Oreochromis niloticus: one gene and its partner. The protein of the gene in region 2 interacts with the protein of the main gene of each other region in a pairwise test. Links are inferred from orthologs where the notes say so. Each region holds a gene or a part of one and is shown on either strand. Other genes may lie near its edges. The genes, in order: ribc2 and rad54b.

Region 1 (11,622 bases), on a different chromosome or scaffold from region 2:
ACATGGGTTCGCGGAGTCAGACGTGGATCAAATATTGTGCAGTATTTTGAAGTTCACTAAACATAGATGATTACATTTTTCATTTATTTTTTATATTGCAAACATTTGCACTAATCAGTATTTGCACACTATTTTATATTATTTTTTGACAATCTTTAAAGCCATTATTGTTAAATAAATATCGTCAAATAATCGAGATCTCAATTTCAGTGAAAATAATCGTGATTATCATTTTTGCCATAATCGAGCAGCCCTAGTTTTAACTTCAACCTCAGGAAAATGTTAACAATATAATGTTTTGTGTATGTTTGATATATGGAGTATAAGCTCGTTGCTGGTCTTATCACAATCATATCTGCATACTTGGTCTTAGCATCATGGGCAATCTGACGCTCTTCACTGATAAGGATCCAGAGGCAGTGTACCCCACTCAGACTGTGGTGTGGAGTATATTTGAAGAGACCTTCCAGGCAGCGTATGGTCTGGTCACTTATGCTCCTGTGTTCAAAGACTATTTCTACCAGGGCCTCAGCCAGTTCTACATGGACAACGTTATGTATCTTGAACTTCGCGCTATACTTCCAGAGGTATTTTAATACTTACATTCTAGCTATACTCTATATGTACTGATTTTTCTGTGTGTCTGATGTACCCAATGGATTCTCACGTGTTAATTTGTTCTTCTTTGATATATTTAGATATATGATTTGGATGGCCGCACTTATGACAGAGCCTGGACTTTGAAGACCTGCCAGGACATCTCAAGGCAATTTGTAGCAAACCATCCTGACTTTGTTGGAGTGAGAATCATCTTTACTGCCAAAAGGTTGCTGCTCTGAGTGCTTTTAAAAATTAGTCTGTACTATTTATTCTTAATTCCACACTGCTTCTGACAGATAAAATGTGGATTTAGTTGCTGATCAATTCTATCTATAATAATTAGAGGTATTTGTAACTATTGGAGCTATTTTGTTATATTTTGTAACTTATTTAATTTAGTTACTGTTCTTACCATCTTGGAGCAACTGGAATTAATAAAGTATTCTGTTCCTGTGTATTTCAGGACAATAAACACTAACACAATGCTTAAAGTTGTGGAGGAGGCTATGAAGCTTTACAGAGACTTTCCTGATATCATGGCTGGTTTTGATCTGGTAAGAGACACTTTTACAGTTTGAAATCTTGAAAACAAAACATGCTGGAAGATCCCAAATGGACTGAAAAGGTATCATGGCTTCTATATTTGTTGAAAACAAGTACGCACAAAAACTTGTGTTTGCGTTACAGGTGGGTTGGGAGGATGGAGGGCGACCTCTGTGGTATTATAGAGATGCCTTGTCGCTCCCTGTGGCGAGAGGGGTCCCACTTCCTTTCTTTTTCCATGCTGGAGAGACAAGTGAGAATTGATCATGATTCCAGTGTACCAGTATAACAATCATAAGTTTGTTTTTTAACCCCCATATATAAAATTGCACAAATGTGAAGTTTACTATATGTTTAATCCAGGGAGTGCAAAAAAGCATTTGGAAGTCATATTCATTTTGTTTGTCTTTACTGTGTGCAGATTCTCAGGGTACAGAAATAGATCAGAACATACTGGATGCTCTTCTCTTTAATACGTCACGCATTGGACATGGATTTGCACTAACACGCCATCCAGTCGCCAAAGAGTGGTCTAGAAAATATGGGGTTGCTGTGGAGGTGTGCCCCATCTCCAACCAGGTACACTGCTATCTGCCACTATACTGTACACGGATGGTAATATTTTCCTGTTTGTAGTGTGAGTGGGCTAAAACCCTTTGTCTCATCTTCTCCTTCCACATACCCTTACCCAGGTGTTGAAGTTGGTCAAAGACTTGCGAAACCATCCAGCTGCTGCACTGATGTCTGAAAACCACCCGGTTGTCATCAGCTCTGATGACCCCGCCATATTTGGTGCGTTTGGCCTCTCTTATGACTTCTATGAAGCGTTCGTTGGTTTTGGGGGCATGCGATCCCATGTAGGCTCCCTTAAACAGCTGGCCATAAACTCTATCAGGTGAGGTTCTGCTAAGATGTTACTTGTAGTTGCACTGTGTGTGCTAGCATGCTTTAAGGTGACTGATGTTCCCGTGTCTGTGTTTCAGGTATAGTTCTTTGACTCCTGAGCAAAAGGAGAAAGCACTGTCTCTGTGGCAGAGAAGATGGGATAAGTTTGTCTCTGAAAATGCCTTTTAGTAGGAAACGTGTATTTGAAAATGACAAACAATGATACAAGCAGTCCTTTCTGCTGTGAAAGGGGCCTTTTGTAGGACAGTCGAAGCTGAATCATGAGTGTAAATGTCAAAGACTGCTGAAATAGCCACTGAGCAGGTTTGTGGTAGGCACAAATATAGTGTTGTTTCCCACAATGTTTTGTAATGAATGAAATAATTATGTGTCATAACATGTCGCCTACTGTGGAAAAAAAAAAGCCTTAAAAAAGGTAAAACAGACTCACAATGCCATGTTAAATACAGTAACAGTGTCACACAGCTTTAAGTGATTGAGATGCTAACTGCTGTTTTATTTCTCTCTGTAGTTCTCTCACATGTTGCATATATTAGCATTAACATAAAAAGGTGGCAACATTAGCCAAAGCACATCAAACCAGGCATATGTATCAGATATATAAAATATATATCTGATATATATATCACACAAAATATATTTTGTGTGTGTGTTTTAAATCATATGACCGATGGAACATTTTTCTTTAAAGAAAGCATTTTTTTTTAAACATCTGTAAGATTTTTTACTTGAATATAATTTTAACACTTATGCCTTCAACTGACTAGTAATTAATATTTGCTTATGGAGGCAAAACTGCGAAAGACTTGAAACACAAAAACTAATCATCTTTCAGAGGCTACTTTTTAAAGCAGTATCTGAAATTTAATCAACATTTTTCAAATCATGCAAACATGAATGTTCTGAACTACATTTCACATAAAAGCAGCTGTTTATTCACTGTGATATTCCGTTTATTCATTGTTCTTTTTATGCAACACCATCACTGGTATCAGAGCAGTGCATCACCCCTCATCTGCTGCAGGTGTTGAACTTGGAGAAGAAGCTGTCATCAATACGTCCTCTTTTAATGTCTGGTTTCCTTAAAAATGAAACATTGTTAAAAACAGTGAGACAATGTACACTGTGTTAAATTTAATAAAAACAATTTTGCTCAAACGTTACTGTTGTTTGTGTGTTTCGGCCAGCTGGGCGTTGGCGCTGTCCAGGTCTCGCCTCAGCTGCCTGTTCATTCGTGCCTGCTGCCTCTCAATAAGCAGAGTGGTACGAGCTGAGTTCAGGCGCACGCGATCGTGCCACTCTTCTTCTTGTTTCTTCTCCAGTTCTTTTCTCTTTACGTGCACAGACAACACACACATTAGGAGATAAAATGCTTTATATGGGCTACCTTTGAAATGATCCATACTGTTTGAGTGCAGATATAATTTTTTTTTTTTTACCCTCTTCTCCTCTATTTGATATTTCTGGATTTGAATGATCTGCTGCAGGCTCTCAGGAGGTGTCCTCCTGTCACTGCTGGGACTCAGGCCGGGCACGGCCTCCGTACTCGGGGTACCTTGAAACTGGCTTTGCCTACTATTGATTTGCTTGTCTTGACGCCGCTTTTCTTCAGCCTTTTCCCATGGAGACACATGAGTAATAAGGTGGAAATAAAAAATGTTTATTGAAGCCTATAGCAGCGTTTAATGCAGTTAAATTCCTCTCACTCACCATAGACCGATTGAAGTCTTTAGTGGCGATGGCAGCTGCCTTTCTCCTTTCTATCTCAAGGCTCTGAAGTTGCACAACTCTGTTGTCCATTTCTACTCTGCTTTGGTCATAACGCTGCTCTAAAAATTTCAGTAGAAAATATGACGGGAGCTTGCCTTTTGTGTTTGAACTGAGCATGTGTATTAAGCATGGTCTTAAGGCAAAACCCACCTTCCAGCTGTTGTCGATGCCTTTCCACCGCCTGCTCAGTCTGCTGCTGGGTGAGCCACTCTCTGAGCTGTTCCCTCTGGTTCTGCAGCCTGACCTTACTTTCTGGGTCTTCACCCACCAGGCCAGGAGGCATCATCTGTGCATCATTCTGCTCTATTTTTTTAACACGGCCGGGATCATTCAGATCATACTCCTGTCGATCTTCAGGCTGCTGGTACTTCTGCCTGTAGGCAACAATGGCTTTTTCCAGTGCACGCTTCTCCTTCATTTGGCGGCTGTCGAGAATGCAAGCTACTTTGCCATAATGGAGCATATCAGCATCTGCATGACGATCACATGCCACACACATATACCACAGTTCACTTTAATAAAGGATTGTATGACACACATCAGGAAACAAATTTGAAGTAACTCACCATAGGCGTTTTGTTCCTTTTTTGCAGCTTCTACTTGTTCCCTTTTCTCTTTCACCTGCTCATCTAGGGCTTCCTTGTCAACCTGTAGAACAGTCATTTAGAGACAAACTCAATGCGTTAACCTCCTCTGCCACAGACTTTCCACTTCTGTTTAATTCAGACCCACACGTACCCCAATCGTCCTCAGTTTCTCATTAAAAATTCTTTCTTTTCTTTCAGTCTCTATGTTGTGACGCTTCTCCAGACTTGCTCTGGCGAGGCGCATTGAAAGTAGTTCAGTTTTACGCATTTTGGCTCACAGCGGTGGCTACCATTTAGTTGAGGATTTGCTCCCGTCTGAAACTTGGAGTTCAAACACACTGGTTGCTAAGACACCAGAGTGTTCGCGAGCCCTCGTACGACGTCGGCTTTTTCCGGAGCATTCACCCCAGACGCCTCGGATCGAAACATTTCAGCCAATGAAAGCACACCAGTCGCAACGCGGATGGTGTCGAGAGTCCACCTACTGATAGGCATTAAATCTTGGACCTGTATTAAAAATGGCAGAACAATAACTAACACTGGCCTGGGTTATTAAAAAAAACAAACTATCTTTTTTTATTTTAAAACAACAACAACACTGATTTCAGATTTGCAATCCAACTCATATTTGCTCGTCATGTTTTTGAGATCCACATCACCAAACCATCCAACCGATCCCTTTTCTGCTGCTAGAATTTTAACTCCCATCTCCAAGCATTTTAGTTTTGATGTCTCTATTCTGCGTTAAAGCGCATTTCTGCCACTTCAGCTCTAAAGAAAAGATGTTTGAGGGACACGCAACCAGTAGCGGTTTTTGATACGGGCGACACGGGCGGTTGCCCGGGGCGGCATCGTGGTGGGGGCGGCATCACGGGCATCGGCAAAAAAAAAAAAAAAAAAAATTTACTCATGCTACCCCGACATCATGCCAGCGCAGTTTGGGGATGGCATGGGCACCAATCGGTTTTCTATCGCCCATTTGCTGGGAGTAAGGGCGCCCTCCGTTTGCGAGGTGCGCCTGATGCTTGCGGCGCAGAGAGGAGAGGGCGGGGCGGCGGGGGATTCTCTGGCTGGCTGGAGCAGCATCTAATAACCAACTCGCAAAATAAAACAAAATAAAAACAAACACGAAAACACCAGACATTATGATACAGACTTATATTCTGCACCGATGTTTTTTCGAAATTCTATACACGAAAACTGAGCGCGAGAGCCCTCGGTGCGCCTGCTGCTGAAGTCAAAGTAAACTTTATTGTCATCTCCGATATATACAGTCCAGTATATAGAGAGACGAGACGACGAGGCTCCAGTTACAGCAGTGCAAGTAAACAAACAATAAATATAAGAAGAGTAAGAAAATAAATATACACTTTAGGACGAGGGGTAAAGGGATCAATGACAATTTAAAATGAATCCTGGGTTGTGCGAAATCCCAGAAATAAAACCTAGACAAAGTGAATCTGTGAGCTAAGGTGTAGGTCTGTTAGGTTATGTTGTGGTGATCCTCGGGTTGGGGGATGGGTGTTCATACTGGAGTGCAAAATTAAAACCAATGGAAGTTGGACTAGAAAAGTTCAAAGCCATCAGGTGCTCAGTTTAGAAAAAAGAGAAAAGAAGAGGAGGAGAAACGAGCAACCGGTAAGCAGATGTGTCATTGGATAATGGCAGGTCATCCTGAAACAATCAGAATCATATTCAGAATACTTTATTAATCCCTAAGGAAATTGTGTGGGTTACAGTTGCTCCAAGAAGAAATTGTAAAAATAGTAACAGTAACAGACTAAACTCCAAACAATACATTATGTTACAGATTTTACACACTTAAGAAATAGCACTAATATATACAGGTCACTCAATTATAAATATCAAGAATTAACAGAGGTGATTATAAATAACTATCAAGAAAATTGACAAGAATATTACAGAGTAGAAAAGAGCGTGTGTAAAAAGGGTGTAACTATTGCAGTGTTCACAGTGTGTTAGATGGAGGAGTTGTACAGGGAGATGGCCACGGGCAGGAATGATTTCCTGTGTCGTTCAGTGGTGCATTATGGGTAATCTCAGTCTCTCACTGAACATCCTCCTGTGGCTAGCCAGCATATCATGGAGTGGGTGGGAGGTATTATCCAGCATTGTCTTTATCTTGGACAACATTCGCCTCTCAGACACCACCCTAACGGAGTCCAGCTCCATCCCCACAACATTACTGGCCTTGTGGATCAGTTAATTTAGTCTGTTGGTATCTGTGACCCTCAACCTGCTGCCCCAGCATGCAACACCATAGAGGATGGCACTGACCACAACAGAGATACAACAGGATAACATTAATTAGTAGGGATAGTGAAAACGTCTGTTTACGTTTGTTAGCCACTTGGCTATGATAGTAAACAGTAGGCACTGATGTAGCTGACTGAATCTTTTGGACTGTGTTCAGCACAATATTAATTAGTCATTGTCAATTCTTGATTTGTCCGGTTCTCATTGTATGACGAATTATGATGGCTGTTTGGTAGCCATTTGCATGCTATGCATACTCTCTCTCTTCATATATGTGTGTGGTTCCAACAACAGTTTTATGTTTTACAATCCTTAATATGTTTTATGTGTGTGTGTGTTTTTTGGTTTTCCATCACTTTTGTATCTTGATGATACATTTCCCCATGCTCATCGAAGTCATCTCCGTGGTTTGGTGGGAAAACAGTTGAGATGAGAAAGTAAAAAGTGCATCTCCAGTAACATTCTGGTACTCATTAGCTATCTATGAGCAAGCATGCCTGTTTTGAATATGCTGACCTATTTCCAGCAGGGGCGCTGTGTCTGTATAATGAGGCTCTATCACCTCAATCATCTGTTGTCGCTCGCTGTTTGGTGGGCTGCATGTTTTAAGGTGCATTGACGCCGTACACATGTTGTGCCCGTTGCACAGACGAAGGATGTTTTGTCTGCTTAATTTAACTTGGTTTCCCACTTAGAGGCCTTTTGCTGTCACATCTCCTGTTGCTGTTGGGGTGGGGCATTTACCACTCTTTCTCAGGTGCGCACAATACAATAGAAGAGGTATGTAACGCGTTGTTAGCACTATTGTTAGTTTTGGACCTAAACTATTCTGACGTGGGCTATTTACATGGTAGAAATCATTGGCATGTTGCGTCACCTGGGTCGGGAGGTGCTCCTCTCCCGTCCAGGTGAGAGTTGTTTAGCAGGTCAGGTATGTATAAGCTGCCCTTTCTAGTACTCAGTGATCATCATCATCTGCTGGTAAGTCTCAGTCCTGAACACAAACTCCCTTTTCCAGTATGATTGAATGTGTACAGTTTTAAAACGATGTTTTTCCTTGTGTAATAAAATTCAAAGTTTGAATTGTGAACTCTGGTCTTCTGCCTCATACTAGAGGAACAAATCTGTGTACCTTACTGGTGTTTCTACTCATTTATTTGGGTGGAATTCCCAAGGTGGCGTTGTTGGCAAATTTTGGCTGCCCTAGCTATCGTGAGAACAGTGAGTTTAAAGAACAAAGTACTGAATCACTCTTTTTATACCCTCATGCTGCCATACGCAGAAGGTATGCAGCCTGTATTTGGCTCATTTATTGTAGTGACGCTGGCACATTTTTCTATTGACAGGGATCCCAAACTTCATCTTTTCGGTTAAGTAAACATTTCCCTCAATTAGCAAGCATCTGCTGACTCTATAATGTGTTTTTGGACATGATGACATTGGTTGCTTAAGTTGTTGGTAAAGTTTTAATAGGAAATCTTTCATCTTGTGTTGGGTCTATTTCCTACACAAGGATGTCCACAATCATGCATTTTCAATAATCGTACAGTATATCCAGTTTAACAAATTGTTTTTTAATGCTATTGTGCCACCAACTTGGATATTATTAGAACATCTGATTCAAGTGTGCTTTTCTGTTGTGCTGACACAAACCAGTCGGACAATCCTAAAAATCAATCATGTCTAAATCTAAAATTAACATAAGAGATGCCACAGAGCAAGAAATAAAGTCTTAACATGTGAAAGGAAAGTTCCTGTTGGCATTGCCATGAGGAAATGCCATTTGCATGAAATGGTAGGCATGTTCTGAAACAGTGTAGGTAGGTGATGTGTCAAAGTATAACATCCACATGGATGGCCAATGTTTCCCAATAGAACATTGCCCAACGATTACGCTGACTCCCTCTGCCGGCTTGGCTTCTTCCCAAAGTGCAACCTAGTACCATGCATTCCCCAGCTAAGCGACACACGCTCCAGCCATCCACGTGATGTTAAAGAAAGTATTATTCATCAGACCAGGCCAGCTTTTTCCATTGCATTGGATTTGGCAATAGATGGGGGTCAGTTTGGACAGCATGGACTTGTCTACAGCTACACAAACATACGCAGCATTTGATGCTGAAACCTTTCAGTCAGTCAATATGTTATTCATACAGGACTTTTCAGACAATAAGGATGCAGTTCAAAGTGCTCTATTCATAAAAAGCAGAAAATAAAACTACACACATGTCCCTTCACTACACCATCTCATCACTCCTTCAATCCTACAGCCCTGCCTGGACATTAGACACCACCTTGTCATTTGGAAATGCTGGAGGGGAAAAAGTAAAAGGTGAATATAAAGGCAAGTAAGATGAAAGAGGGGAATAAACATGTAAACAAATAATGCAATGAAAATAGACACAACCCAAACTAAAAAGAAAATACTTGAGTTTGGTTCTAAAAATCTCAACAGTGTCAGCAGCACGTGGGTTATCAGGTAGACTCGTCCTAAACTTGGAGCATAATGGCTAAAAGATGCCTCTTCATTAGTTTTAGAACCAAAACAAGCATGAACTTTTTCACCAATTTAAGCTACAGTAGCTCGTCTATTGGACATGACAACACAGGCCAGCATTTTCTGACCATGAGCTTTGGACCCTGGTTCACCACTGTTCCTCCTTTGGACCACTTTTGGTAGATACTGACCACTGCAGACTGGGAACAGCCTACAAAAGCTGCAGGTTTGAGATGCTCTGACCCAGTCGTCCAGCCATCCCAATTTGGTCCTTGTGAAAATCTCTCAAATTCTTGCGCTTGTCCTTTTTCCTGTTTCCAGCACATTAACTTTTGATGGAGAAATTTGGCTTGGGCAGGGGCTTTATAGACATGATCAGATTGTTATATGTCACCCCAAGAGCATGTGTTGTAGTTCATGGTATTAAATCATCAGAATTCTGTTTACAGAGATCAACAAGACAGGGGGGACCCGATTTCCCCATTAATTTTCGCTTTAGTAATTGAACCACTGGCAGAGGCCATTAGAAATAATCAAAATATATCTGGATACCAAATTCAAGGATTTGAATTTAAAATTTTACTATACGCAGACGATGTTCTGCTGTTTGTCACCAATCCCCAGGATTCTATACCCTCTGTATTATCTACTATAGAAACTTTTGGATATTTGTCCGGGTATAAGGTTAATATGAACAAAACTATTGCTATGCCACTGGGAAATTTGCCTATGACATGCAATATCCCATTTACCTGGTCGGGTTCTGGATTTAAGTACTTGGGGATACACATTTCACCTAATATAAAAAGTATATTGAAACAGAACATAGACATAGTTCATAAAAGCGTCAAAAGAGATCTTGCTAGATGGATGGATCTCCTGGTCTCTTGGATGGGGAGAATAAATTTAATTAAAATGAATGTGTTGCCACAGTTTTTATATCCTTTACAAATGCTCCCGATAACACTGACCAAAAAAATTGTAAAAGAAATTGAAATAGATATGTCAAGGTTTATTTGGAGGGGTAAGAAACCCAGATTAAGTATGAAAACGTTACCGCTGCCCAAAGATAAAGGGGGTCTTGCCTTTCCTAACATTTTGCTGTATAACTGGTCATGCCATAGTAGAGTTATACATGAATGGATCCACGCATATCTAAAAGAGACAGAGAATCTCCTAGAAGCCTGGACATGTTCGCCATTTAATCTCCTAACCGAAATAGTGAGTAAATATATTAAAAAACATAACAAAGTAATGATTGATACTTACTTAAAAACATGGTGTGATATGAATAAATACACTGAAAGTAATCCTATACTGAGTTATCTAACACCTTTTATAAATAATCTGCACTTTACACTGGGAATGAAAAGTGCAGTATTTCAGAGATGGTTTGGTGCAGGAATACGTGTGGTGGGTGATCTGTTTAATGGGAATGTTTGTATGTCTTTTGAGCAGGTCCAAAAGAAATATGGAATACATCAAATGGAATTTTCTGCATTTTTACAGGCTTGTCACTTAATTACTTCAAGTTTTGATACTTTGCACAATACAATGCAACTAGGACCCATGGAAAATTTCTTTTTACACTTAAATGCAGATAATAGTACTATAAGACAGTTTTACAATGCACTACAAGGTTATAACAAACATAATATTGGAAAACTGATTAGGAGTTGGGAGGGTGACCTCCAGTGTCAGTGTGATGATCATGCCTGGAGTGAGTGCATACAATCTGTGCATTCTTTATTTCTCAGTAACAGATTTAAAGAAATACAATATAAAATTTTACATAGACAGTATAGAACACCTATTTTTCTGAATAAAATTGATCCAAGCAGGTCAGCACAATGTACTAAATGTAAATCTGCGGCGGGGTCCTACGTGCACTGTCTTTGGACTTGCTCAAAAATCTCAAAATTCTGCCTCTGTGTAACAAAAGAATTAAAAGGTATATTTAAAAGCAGAATACAAAAAGATCCAGCTCAGTATTTATTGGGGCTGCCAACTCTGAACAAATTTCCAGATAAAAACAAATATAAACTACTATTGAAATTATTGTTTTTGGCAAGAAAATGTATTCTTTTCAATTGGATTAATGAAAAACCACCAACAATAACTCAGTGGTATAAAGAAATCTTTAGAGTTTACCAATGGAAAGACTGAGTGCAAAATTAAGTGGCAATGATGATATTCTTTTGGATATATGGCACCCGCTATTGGATTACTTACCTGATGGTCTGAAGAAAACCATAGTGAGAGGGGCAGCCCCACTCCAGTGGCGGGTTGAGTTTGTCAGGACAAATGTGTAAATGACTGGTAGACCGAATCATATATACTGTATTAGTTTTCCGTTTACATGTCTCAGACTGCTTATTGTGTTACTTTTTTTTCTCTTTGTTGTTGTTGTGGTAGTTGTTTTTGTTTTTTATTCTTTTGTTT
Region 2 (11,237 bases):
ACAACCTCAAGCCAAATATTTGTGATTAGTAACGTCATCGTCATAATTTTTTTGTCAGAAGGGTCATTAAATGCTACATTTTTAAAAAGTTGGAAAGTTATTTTATGGGTCAGGGTTTAGAAACATGATATATTATCTTGTATATTATTATAATTATATTGTTTGTAGAAATCCTGGAGGAATTTCCGGTTTGTGTTCTAGTCACTGCACATTTTTGTGTTGTTTATTTACTATTTATTATTTCTTCTTATGTACTGATATGGACTGTGGGTGGCTGTGAATGCAAAGTGGATGGTGTGGCTCAAGATACAGCAGAGCTTTGTGTTCAAGGTGACAGTGTTTGTATCATCTCTGTCTTTCTTTTAAAAAGGCAACAGAATCAGTATTATTCTGTATGTACACATTAATATACATGATGCTTTTTGCCCGAGGCAAAAAAATTGCAGTAGTGTGTCAACATCTGTCCCCCTTCCTCATCTTTTGCATATTTGTCACATTTACATGTTTCAGATCATCAAACAAATTTAAATATTAGACAAAAATAACCTGAGTAAATTCAAAAAGTAGTTTTTAAATTATAATGTATTAAGGGGGAAAAGTTATCCGAGTCTACATGAAAAATTAACTGCCACCCTTGTAAAATCATAAATTAATTGAATAACCACAATTTTTAGAAAGTTGAGTTCAGTTTCTCTGTCTACACCCGGGTCTGATTACTGCCAGACCTGCTGAGTTACTAAAACCTGTCTGACAAAGTGAAGTAGGTTCAAAGATAAAGCAACACATCATGCTACGATCTAAAGAAACAGCTAAGAAACAAAGTCACTGACTGTCACAGCTGTCAGTCAGGCTTTGGCTTTGGGACTCCAGTGAACCACGCTGACGGCCACAAATGAAGAAAACTGAACAGCGGTGAACCTTCCCAGGAGTGACTGGTCTACCAAAATTACTCCAAGAGTGCATTGACGAGTCATCCAGCAGGTCACAAAAGAACCCAGAACAGCATCTAAAGAATTGCAGGCCTCACTCACCTCAGTTAAGGTCAGAGTTTATGATTCAACAATAAGAAAGAGAAGGCATCCATAGGAGAGTTCAAGGAGAAAAGTACTGCTGACCAGAGAGATCACAAAGGCTCGTCTCACATTTGCCAAAGAAAAACATCTTGATGATCCTCGAGACTTTTGGGAAAATATTCTGTGGACTGACAACACAAAAGTTGAGCCTTCTGGAAGGTTTGAATCCCGTTACATCTGACGTAACACAGCATTTCATAAAAAGAGCATCGTACGAACAGTCAAAAGTGGTAGTACAGTACTCTGATGGTCTGCGGCTACATGGACGACTTGCTGCAATTGAACCATGAATTCTGCTCTCTATCAGAAAATCCTGAAGGAGAATGTCCGGCCATCCTTTTGAGCCCTGAAGCTTAAGCTCAGGTTCTGCAGCAGGAAATTGATCCAAAACACACCAGCTCAAAATGGCTCAAAAAAGAAAGAAAAAAAAAGAAGAAAAAGAAGAAGACGGTTTTGGAGTGTCCTAGTCAAAGTCTGGATTTAAATGTGTTTGAGAGGCTTCGACATGACCTTAAACAGGCCACTCATGCTGGAAAACCCTCCAATGTGGCTGAACTAAAGTAATTCTGCAAAGAAGAGTGGGCCAAAATTCCTCCGTAGTGATGTTAAAGACTCATTGCTACTTATCGCAAACACTTGATCGCAGTTCTTGCTGCCAAGGATGGCACAAGCAGTTATTAAGTTCAAGGGCAATTACTTTTTTCACACAGGATCAGGTAGGTTTAGACAGCTTTTTCCCCTTAATGAATAAAATCATCATAAAAAAAACCCCCACTTCATTTTGTATTTACTTGGGTTGTGTTTTTCTAATGTTAAAATGTATTTGATGATGTCAAACATGTAAGTGTGACAAATATGCAAAAAAAATGATTAGCAATAAAGCAAAATGAAACCTTGCATAGATTTATTGCTGTAGACGCCTTGAGGCTAACCCAAATTCTTTCTACATAAAAACGATTGAAAACCATAATTAACCACATTTTAGAATATATGTCATAAATAAAGTAAAATGATCAAAAACAAGAATAGTCCCATTAAAAAGTATTAATGTATAAAATATAACGGAGCCCACAGCTTGGTCACTTGAGAGCTAATGAAACAGAAACGGCTATTTCAGTAGAACCTTCATGACTAAACTACCTAGACCTAATGAGGCATCAGGTATGCTGCATGCTGAGGCTTGCACTGTCTTTGTCATTGTAACACACAGGGTTAATTGGTTTAGCTTTTAATCTCACCTGCATTTAATTAAAAACTAATTGGAAGTCTTGTTTTGATTTAGGAGCTATCCAGCTTAAATAACAGCTTGTAATGGAACCATGATTTTGTTTTCTGGTGGAAATCTTGAAGCGTTTCTCATTTTCAAACATTGCATCTCCTCATCTCCTTAAGGAGAGGGGAATGCTTGCTGGATTAACTTTGAACAAAGACACACAGGTGTACTCTTCACAGAAGTCTTTTCAGTCAAGAAAAATGGTGCAAGGCACAGCTGGAATATTTAAATCATGGTACAGGAAGAATTCTATCTGAAACTCTACCTCTAAGTTGTAGCAATAACTCAGTGATCACACCATCAACCCTTCACTATTTGTGGGTGTGATTTAAAAAAATAACTACGTTTAATTAAAAGAAATATAAAAGTCATCATGAGCAATGTTATGTCCATCTGATTCATCAGACTCCTTTCCCTCCTGGCCTTCCACTCTTTGTTATGGTCTTTTTTTTCCCTCTCTCTCTCTCAAACGTATTTGTCCCCATATTTGTCTTTGCACATTCCCTGATATACATTGCTGAAACTATGAGAATCTCCCTCCAGGAATCAACTGACATTTGTGAGTTTTTATATTGCTGCTATGATTATTAAATTGGACATAAGAAGTGAGAAGATGGGGCAAGAAAAAGACAAGGCTTTACATGGCTGTTTGTTTTTTACCTGCTGGTTTATAGTCTTCGGCAGAGGCTCCTAATCCAGGGTTCTGATGCTTTGTCTCAGCCTCATTTTCCTTACTCTCAGTTGCACTGAGAACACGAGCCAGAACCTTTGACAAGGCTGGGGCAGCTTCGGGCTGGACGTTAAACTCTGTTTTACTTGCACCTGGTGTTGCAAGGCTTCTCTGGACCTGCGAAATGAGGTAAGGACAAAAGAGAATTCCTAATATAAGGGAGTGTGATAAAAAAATAATGGAAAATAATCAAATTAGGATGACAAATACTGAGGGTTTAAGACTGTAGGAAAAATGTTGAGAAAAAAAACTTACTTTATCCAGTGCATTGCCTAAACCAAGTTTGGGGGTCAGAGGCTTGGATTCAGCCACAGAAAGTGAAGTACATGCACCAGGTGGCACAAATCGAGGCTTTTTCACTGCATTACCCAAGAGCTTGCTGGGAGCTCCAGAGCGCCGCATCTTTCTTTTTCCTAAAGACAAAAAGCAACCGATACAAGCAGATTAATAACTGCCATTATATTATTTTTCTTAGCACATTATTGCACCGGTTTAATCAGTGACTCAGAAAACAGCACATTCTGAAATCAAAATTTTCAACCCTCTTGAGATATGATTCAGTATCGTGAAATGTATTTTTTGCACTGTGGGTTTCATTCTCCTGTAAGTCAGTGTTTCATCCGGTAATAAAACACTAATATAAAGCTAGAAGATGGGTAGCTTCCTCCTGACTGCTTTTCTCTTCTTTTGTGTATATTTCTGATCAGTGATCAGTTTTACCTCCTCACAAACTATAAGGGGAATTTATGCACACTAATATAGTAAATTTCATGCATTACGTTTTATGCAAATACAGTAACATTTGGTTGACACAAAATCCCAACAAACACCTGGACTTGCCTTGAGGCGTTACTGCATGATTACCGCTTATTACAAACGGTTTAATATCAGGGGAAAAAAAGAAAAAAGAAAAAAAAACACCTTCCTCAAAGGTACTCACTTTAATAACTTCGTAGGAGGCATGTAGCAAAAACTATCTCGTTAGCTCAAAACAAATCCAACTCCAACACTTTTCCTTTTAATGTCACAGTCCTTTAGCATTATTTAAACACATCTAGCTAATGATTTGTCTCTATTAATAGCAAAAAAATGAAAACTTGGATTATTTGCATATGTAAATTCTGCACTGGGTAAACTGTGCATATCGAGACGAACATAACTCACTCAATCCTTTTTTTATCATACATAAATCCTTCGGGTCACTATCCCTCTGATGGCTTTCTAGCTTTTTCGCGTCCTCAATTCCTGCTTATACTGGAATAATCGGCATATCACGATAATTTCTCGATAGCAACATGAACCTGTTACACAGCCAGCTAGCTAACACTAGCATAAAGATGATAATAACGCGGTTGGAAGTCTAATTTAGGCTTCATTATCAAGTCAGATAATGTGTGACAACGTATTGTACATACCCCGACGAGCTAAAAGTTAGATGAAAACACCTGACATTGCAGCCTTTAACTCAATTGCAACAGAACTCGTCTTGTCTTTCCTCTTCAGTGACTCTAGCATCGGTTCAGTTTCTCCCGCTGAACAGCTTGAAGAATCTGATTGGGCGAACCAATACAAATGGGCGTGGTTAAAACGAAAGGGTACGTTTGGTTCTTCTGTCCCTACAGTTTGGCCGTCACATTCAATGGAGTCTATATCCCGCTTGAATTTCAGCAACCGGTCGATCGATAACTTGTGAATCGAGCTCACCTACTACTCACTTCACCCCTTCATTAAATCACAGTGAAAGCGTGAAAGGAGGAATATTTGGGAAATATAAATATTGGTATAACCGTTTAAGTAAGCTGCTGTTCGTAATATTTTATTTCACTAGCACAGCCACCACAGTAAACTCGCCTCACATGTTTTTTGCAAGGCTAAGGCAAACGTGTCAACTTCTCAAAATTTACCGCAAATTACTCAATTTGAGGGTACCTGAAAGTAATACTTATATAGTAGTTGTATTAAGTTATTTTCACTAATACTTAATTATACTGATATTTAATAATATTAATTATTAATACTGATATTAAATGATAATACTGACAGGACCTTTATTAAGGGGGAGAAAAACCTATCCAAACCTCCAAACCTTTCTGCATAATTCAAGTGAGGTTGAGCTTCAGGGTAAGAACGGACATTCTCCTTCAGGATTTTCTGGTAGAGAGTAGAATTTATGGTTCCATCAATTACAGCAAATCATCCAGGTCCTAAAGCAGGAAAGCAGCCCCAGACCATTACACTATCACCACCATGTTTGACTGTTGATATGATGCTTTTTAATGAAGTGTTAGTTTTATGCAGTTAATTTTATGCAGAAGTAACCAGACTCAAACCTTCCAGAAAGTTAAACTTTTGTCTTGAGGATCATCAAGATTTCTCCATTTACTGTATGTATAATGACTTTCACTATGGTTCACTGGCATCCCAAAGTCTTAGAAATGACTTTGTAACCCTTTCGAGGATGATAGATGAAACTTTGTTTCTCATCTGTTCATGGTTTCTTTAGACGGTGACATGATGTGTTACTATTTGAGCTCTTTCACCCAACTTCACTTTGTCAGACAGGTTCTGTTTAAATGATTTATTGATTCAGGTCTGACAGTAATCAGGCCCGGGTGTGGTTAATCAAAGCTAATTCATGATTTAATAAAGGGGGCAATAACTTTTTCACATAGGGTCAGGTAGGTTTGGATGGCTTTTTTATTAATAAATAAAATCATCTAAATTGTATTTTGCATTGATCTTTGTCTAACATTAAAATTAGTTTGATGATCTGAAAGATTTAAGTGTGAAAATACACAAAAAACTAAGAAACCAGGAAGGGGGAAATACTTTTTCAGAGGATGTATGCATAAGAGAGCTTTACTTGGTACGGGGTCATTTTGAATTACTATTTGTGTGATTATAAGTCTTACTGAGAGGATATAAAGAGAACAGGATGATGAGTCCAGGCATTTGGGGTGCTCTTTGATTTTTGTGATCATCCATTCTTGGGCCATCTGATATTGAGTCTGTAATCCAATCATGGAGGGAGAGAGTGTAATCCATCTTAATCCCACATTCAGAGAGAGAGAGAGTGAGAGAGAGAAACCTAGGATCGGGTGGGTCATTAAGAGAGAGAAAAACAGCTGAAGGACAGCAGTAATCTCTGAATGCTTCACAACAGCAACACAGGTTTTTAATAGCTAGACAACAACACTGCTGCAGAATTTGTCTGCTTTAGACTCAGTGTTCAGTGTTTTACTGTAATTCGGCCTGTCTCTCTCATCTGATCTGGTCCCGTCTGACAGCTGCCTTCCTGTGTCCTGAACCCTTGTTGTCAGGGTTACCTCTCCACAGAGACGCACTCTCAAAGGTAGGGGAGGGCTTCAAAGGAGAGGAGACCCTCACCTTGATGGTGTTAAGAGCGAGGATGTGGCAGAGATAGGACGGCAGGTTGCCCGTGGAGGAACAAGTGGAGTCAAAACCTGCAGAAAGAAGGAAGAAGGAGTTGGTTGAAGTGAAAGTTGACATCTGAGGTAAGATAAAAAGAAAATAAACAAATGAGGAAACAAGACTGCTTCCTGCTTTCCTCATGTGTTGTTTAATCTGTTTAACTTTTTTTTTTTTTTTTTTATTAGGATGGGCTATGATCTGGAGAGGTTTGTAGGTTACGTGAATGAGGGTCTACTGTGCTGTGTGTGTCGAGACGTGCTGGAGCGCCCCCTCCAGGCACCCTGCGAACATGCTTACTGCAGCTCCTGCATCAGCACCTGGCTGGTCCATCACCACTCCTGTCCTGAGGACAGACTGCCACTGGATGTGGGTAGCCTCAAACCACTGTACAGGTCAGTCTCCGTCTCCTGCAGTTGTGCTGCTTCCTTCACTTCCTCGTAATCATGCACTCTTAAGTTTTGCAGATAAGTTTATGCAAGTCAGTAGCATTATAACAGTATCCTGCTTTTCTCACTGTAAGAGTTTCTGTCTGTGTTGGTTTGATTGCAGGTACATGCGTAATGATCTGAACCGTCTGCAGATCCGCTGTGTGAATGCAGCACAGGGGTGTGAGGTGGTCTGCTCCCTGGAGAGCCTCCACTCACACGAGGACGAGTGCGAGTTTGCCTTCATATCCTGCGCTAACACAGGTACATGACAACATCACACCGGACAAAACACTATTCATGCAATGTGTTTTTATGAGTCTTTATGACAGTAAAAGTCAAACTGCTATCCTCATGGATGTGTATGTTACAACTGTAATGTGAAACGTCTGTGGGGGTGGACAACAGGTGGGCCCTGTTGTTGTCTTGGCTACCCCAGGAACAGGTGCACTTTTGGGACTGAAAGCTCCCACAAGCCTCACACAGAGAGCACTGTGTGAGGGTCGGCGTTCATTCATTCTTTAATGAGGGATTTTAAGGTCTGTTTGAGACATGTACGTGCAAGTGTGCGCTTTTGTGCTCACCATGTGTCTGTGACCTGTCTTTGGCAGGTGGAGAGTACATATGTTACCACTGTGGTAGGTTGAATCACATGCGGTGTGTGTGCATGCGTTGTGCAGTTTAAGTCACTAAAATCACCTGAAATTTCTGCTGTTGTGTGACTGCAGTGATCTGTGACTACACTGTAGATTTAATAACTCTACTTTGGATACACAAAGTGTTTACAAAGTACATTTTTGGTGGTGTTAGTAGATTATCTCCTCCTCGTACACACAGATGATTTTTATGGAAAAATTCATGCCTGCAAATAAATTTCATCTTTGTGAAGATGCTTTAGAAGCCTGTCTTATACACTGATAACCTGGTGGCTCCATGCAAGGCATTTGCACCCTTGTGACTTTTCCCTCTCAGGCTGTCCCGTGCAGGTCGAGAGGCGGGGCTTGGAGGCTCACCTGTCAGAATGTAGCTTTCGCAGCAGGGAGTGTCCCAATGGTTGCGGCCACACGCTGCTCTCCATCGACCAGTCACAACATAACTGTGTAGCGGAGCTGCGCACTGAGGTGGAGATGCTCAGGTAAGCTCAGTGCTGTCTCCTAAGCCTAAACTCAGAGGTAACACCACCACCATAATGTGGTCTCATTAAATGTCGACTGTAGGGTGGAGATGCTGTGCAAGGTGGAAGAGGTGAGAAGAGAGATGGAGTCTCGGCTGGACTCGCAGAGGAGACACATGGTGCAGAAAGAGTCTCAGCTGAAGAACGAGGTGGAGGAGCTCAAGGTGAAATGCCATGTTACCACATAAATGCAACAGATTTACTATATGAGTAGTACTAAAGCGCAGATTTATGACCTTGGGATACATTTACTATGAAAGTACAATGTAGTGTTTTGTAAATCATTTAAACAGTTGTAGAAAAAATCCTGAAAGTTTGAAAGCAAAATGTTTTTACAAGTCTGGACTGAGCTCAGGCCTATAAATGGAGGCAGTTTATGGATCTTTTTTTATGCACATAAAATCACAGTAGTAAAATGTACACCCTCTTCTGAGGATTCACATATCGGTCATTTCAAAAATAATCTGGTCCATAGCAGGTTAATAGATACAACCTTAGGTGAACTACACAGCTAAATGACATATCACATAACAAAACTAAGCCAAAATGCAGAAGCAGTGTATGTACAGTTTTACTGGATCCACAGGATTTAAGAGGGAAATGAAGCCACATGCAGATAATCAAATGCACTTAATTGGCATGAAAATCTCTAAATGAAGCAGGCAGTTTGCTGTTTTGGAGCATACATAAGATGTGTGTTAACACAATGCCAATGGGGAATAACATCAGTAATGATATTAAACAATCTGGGAAAGGTTATACGGTAATTTCCAAACAGTTTGAAGTCCACAATTATAGAGCAAGGAAAATTACTTATGAGCAGAAAACACTCAAGACAGTTGCCAGTTTTCCCAGGAGTGGATATCCCAGTGTCAGACTGTGCAGTGCTGAGAGAAACTGTAAAAACAACAACAAAAGAAACCCCCTCAAACTACATCTCAGACTCTACATGCTGCAGCTTATTAAAAGTTGAAGTTCATGACAGCACAATTAAGTATGGCGTGTTTGGAAGGGTTGCAGGCGAAAGCATCTTCTCTTTAAAAATGGCAGCACAGCTTAAGTTTGAACAAAGAGTTCTGGGACGATGTAATCTGGACAGATGAGATGAATATTTGGAGGAACTCAAACATAGCATATCAGCACAAGCATGTCACACTAACTATGAAGCACAATGGTGGTGGTGGTGGTGGTGGTGAATTTGGGCTGGATTTGTATTCACTGGAATGTACCTTGTAATCATTGAGTTAACCATGAACTCCTCTGTAAACCAAAGTGTTCTAGAGTCAAATGCGAGGACATCTGTCCAGGAGCTAAAGCCTGGCTGAAATTGGCATCACACGTAAAACTACTCTATTGCTTCACGTCATATCCTGTCTGTGCAGGGTCAGCTATCCCGTGTGATGTGTGACATGCGTGCGCTGCTAGGTGCAGAGCGTTTGAGGAGACAAGAGCTGGCAGAGGCAGAGCTGGAAAAGAGAGAACTGCTAGAGCTCCTCAGAGACCTGCAGCCCACCAGGAGCCAGAATCCCACTGAACAGGCAGCCAGGGACCAGCATCAGGGAGAGGCACAGACATCAGGCTGGGAACTCCACACCGAGCCAACCAGACAGCAACAGAGAGAGGCTTCTTCACATGCCTCCAGTCTATCACTGCATTCAGCCCAGGCTTCACATGCATCAGGCCCACCCCCATCACCACAGCTGGGTGAGGGAGGGCGCAAGGGTGGGACCCGGAGTCTGACCTTGGACTGCATCAAAAAGAAGAGCAGGGAGGTGACGGTGATCTGAAAAAGCTGCAATATATGAAATCTTTATTTTTTTATTATTTAGCAACAAAATTAGGGTTTTGGTAAAACGTGTTACAAAAGGAAGGTTTTGTTACGCTGTGTTTTTAATGCTTAAAGAGCAGGTCTTTGTGTGTTGGATTTCCTTCAGACCCCCAATAGAGATTATTATTATTTGACCATGACATCAGACTAAACCATTATTTTGAACCACCTGACGTCATTTTAAATGTGTCGTCAGTGAGCTTCAAGAAGTTGGAATCACCAAACCTGTATTTTTACAACTGAAGTTAACCCCATAACGATTCAGTGTGGGTTTTTGTGAAATTGAGAATGCAAAAAATAGACAAGTTTAAAAAAAATTATGTTGAATTTTTTTCAATGGGAGAGAAAGTTCAATAAAAACTGAATTTTCAAAAAAAATTGAATTTTCTGGCAATTATTTCATGGTTCCAATTTTTAAGGTTTAAAGGTCACATATTCCACCTATTTAAGATATATTAATGTTAGTCCCACATGACCGCATAGTTCAAGTTTCCATAATATCAACCGTGCCTGTATACCACTGGTTTTGTGCTCCTTTTCGAACAGTTTCAGGGTTTGTAGCTTTAAATGAGATCAGCCTTAGAAATAACAAAAAACACCACCACCAACAAAAAAAAAAAAAAACTGGGGAAAAACTGAATAATTCTGCAGACACAGCGACAGACAGCACAAGAGGGATCACATTTGAATCATTTTATCTGAGAACCACAGATGATTTATTTATTTGACATTCCCTTAAAAACACACAAAGGCCTCATTTTGCTATCACTTTTATTTTCTGAATACAGCTAATAATAACAAAACTGAAAACATCAACACAGTCTGTACATTATTTGTGACAACATCATACCACCACGTTTCCATGGAGACAGCATATATAATATCCTGATTGGCCCTTTTGTTGCCGTGAGAGGCTGCAGTCATTGTCCAGGTGGATTTACCTGGTGAAGGAGCGAACATGTCTGCCCCTCCCACCTCCGCTCCCTCCTCCACCGCTGAACTTGCTCCCCTGAGATCCTCTTCCCCCTCCACCGCCTCCCCGGCACCTCCCCCAGCACCGCCGCCACCTCCTCCGCCGCTAATCCAAGACAGGCCGGTACCTCCTCTGCCGCGTGGAGCTCGATCCCGAAGAGCCAGCCGATACGCACCTGAAGTGTGGAACGAGTGAATCAAACTTTTTTTTCCCCCTATAACACCTTTAATACAGGTCAAAGCGATAAAAATGTAAAACAAATGCAATAAAACAGAACATAAAAGACTGAAAAAGAGAGCGGTATAAAATGTAAGACTGTGTGTGTGGTC

What was found.
Region 1: the proteins of rad54b (region 2) and ribc2 interact in a two-hybrid assay, tested with the Homo sapiens proteins (2 studies listed by BioGRID and IntAct). The two-hybrid records come from large-scale screens. The link is inferred for Oreochromis niloticus from reciprocal best matches to the Homo sapiens genes RAD54B and RIBC2.

Annotation. Positions count from the first base shown.
Region 1 is NC_031972.2:62,001,569-62,013,190, forward strand, and holds ribc2 (RIB43A-like with coiled-coils protein 2), read right to left. Parts: upstream 4,776-11,622; 5' UTR 4,675-4,775; coding exon 4,558-4,674; intron 4,468-4,557; coding exon 4,386-4,467; intron 4,291-4,385; coding exon 3,970-4,290; intron 3,879-3,969; coding exon 3,760-3,878; intron 3,663-3,759; coding exon 3,489-3,662; intron 3,381-3,488; coding exon 3,214-3,380; intron 3,208-3,213; exon of another isoform or gene 3,131-3,207; coding exon 3,061-3,130; 3' UTR 2,877-3,060; downstream 1-2,876. Other genes in the region: ada2a (adenosine deaminase 2-A), read left to right, coding at 374-587, 699-826, 1,064-1,154, 1,288-1,396, 1,565-1,722, 1,836-2,038, 2,127-2,217. UniProt on the Homo sapiens protein: Microtubule inner protein (MIP) part of the dynein-decorated doublet microtubules (DMTs) in cilia axoneme, which is required for motile cilia beating.
Region 2 is NC_031976.2:20,049,880-20,061,116, forward strand, and holds the start of rad54b (DNA repair and recombination protein RAD54B), read right to left. Parts: upstream 4,609-11,237; 5' UTR 4,492-4,608; intron 3,490-4,491; 5' UTR 3,479-3,489; coding exon 3,332-3,478; intron 3,194-3,331; coding exon 3,007-3,193; intron 1-3,006. Other genes in the region: rnf41l (RING finger protein 151), read left to right, coding at 6,695-6,900, 7,058-7,197, 7,545-7,571, 7,906-8,068, 8,151-8,271, 9,490-9,894; virma (protein virilizer homolog), read right to left, coding at 10,707-11,131. UniProt on the Homo sapiens protein: Involved in DNA repair and mitotic recombination. May play an active role in recombination processes in concert with other members of the RAD52 epistasis group.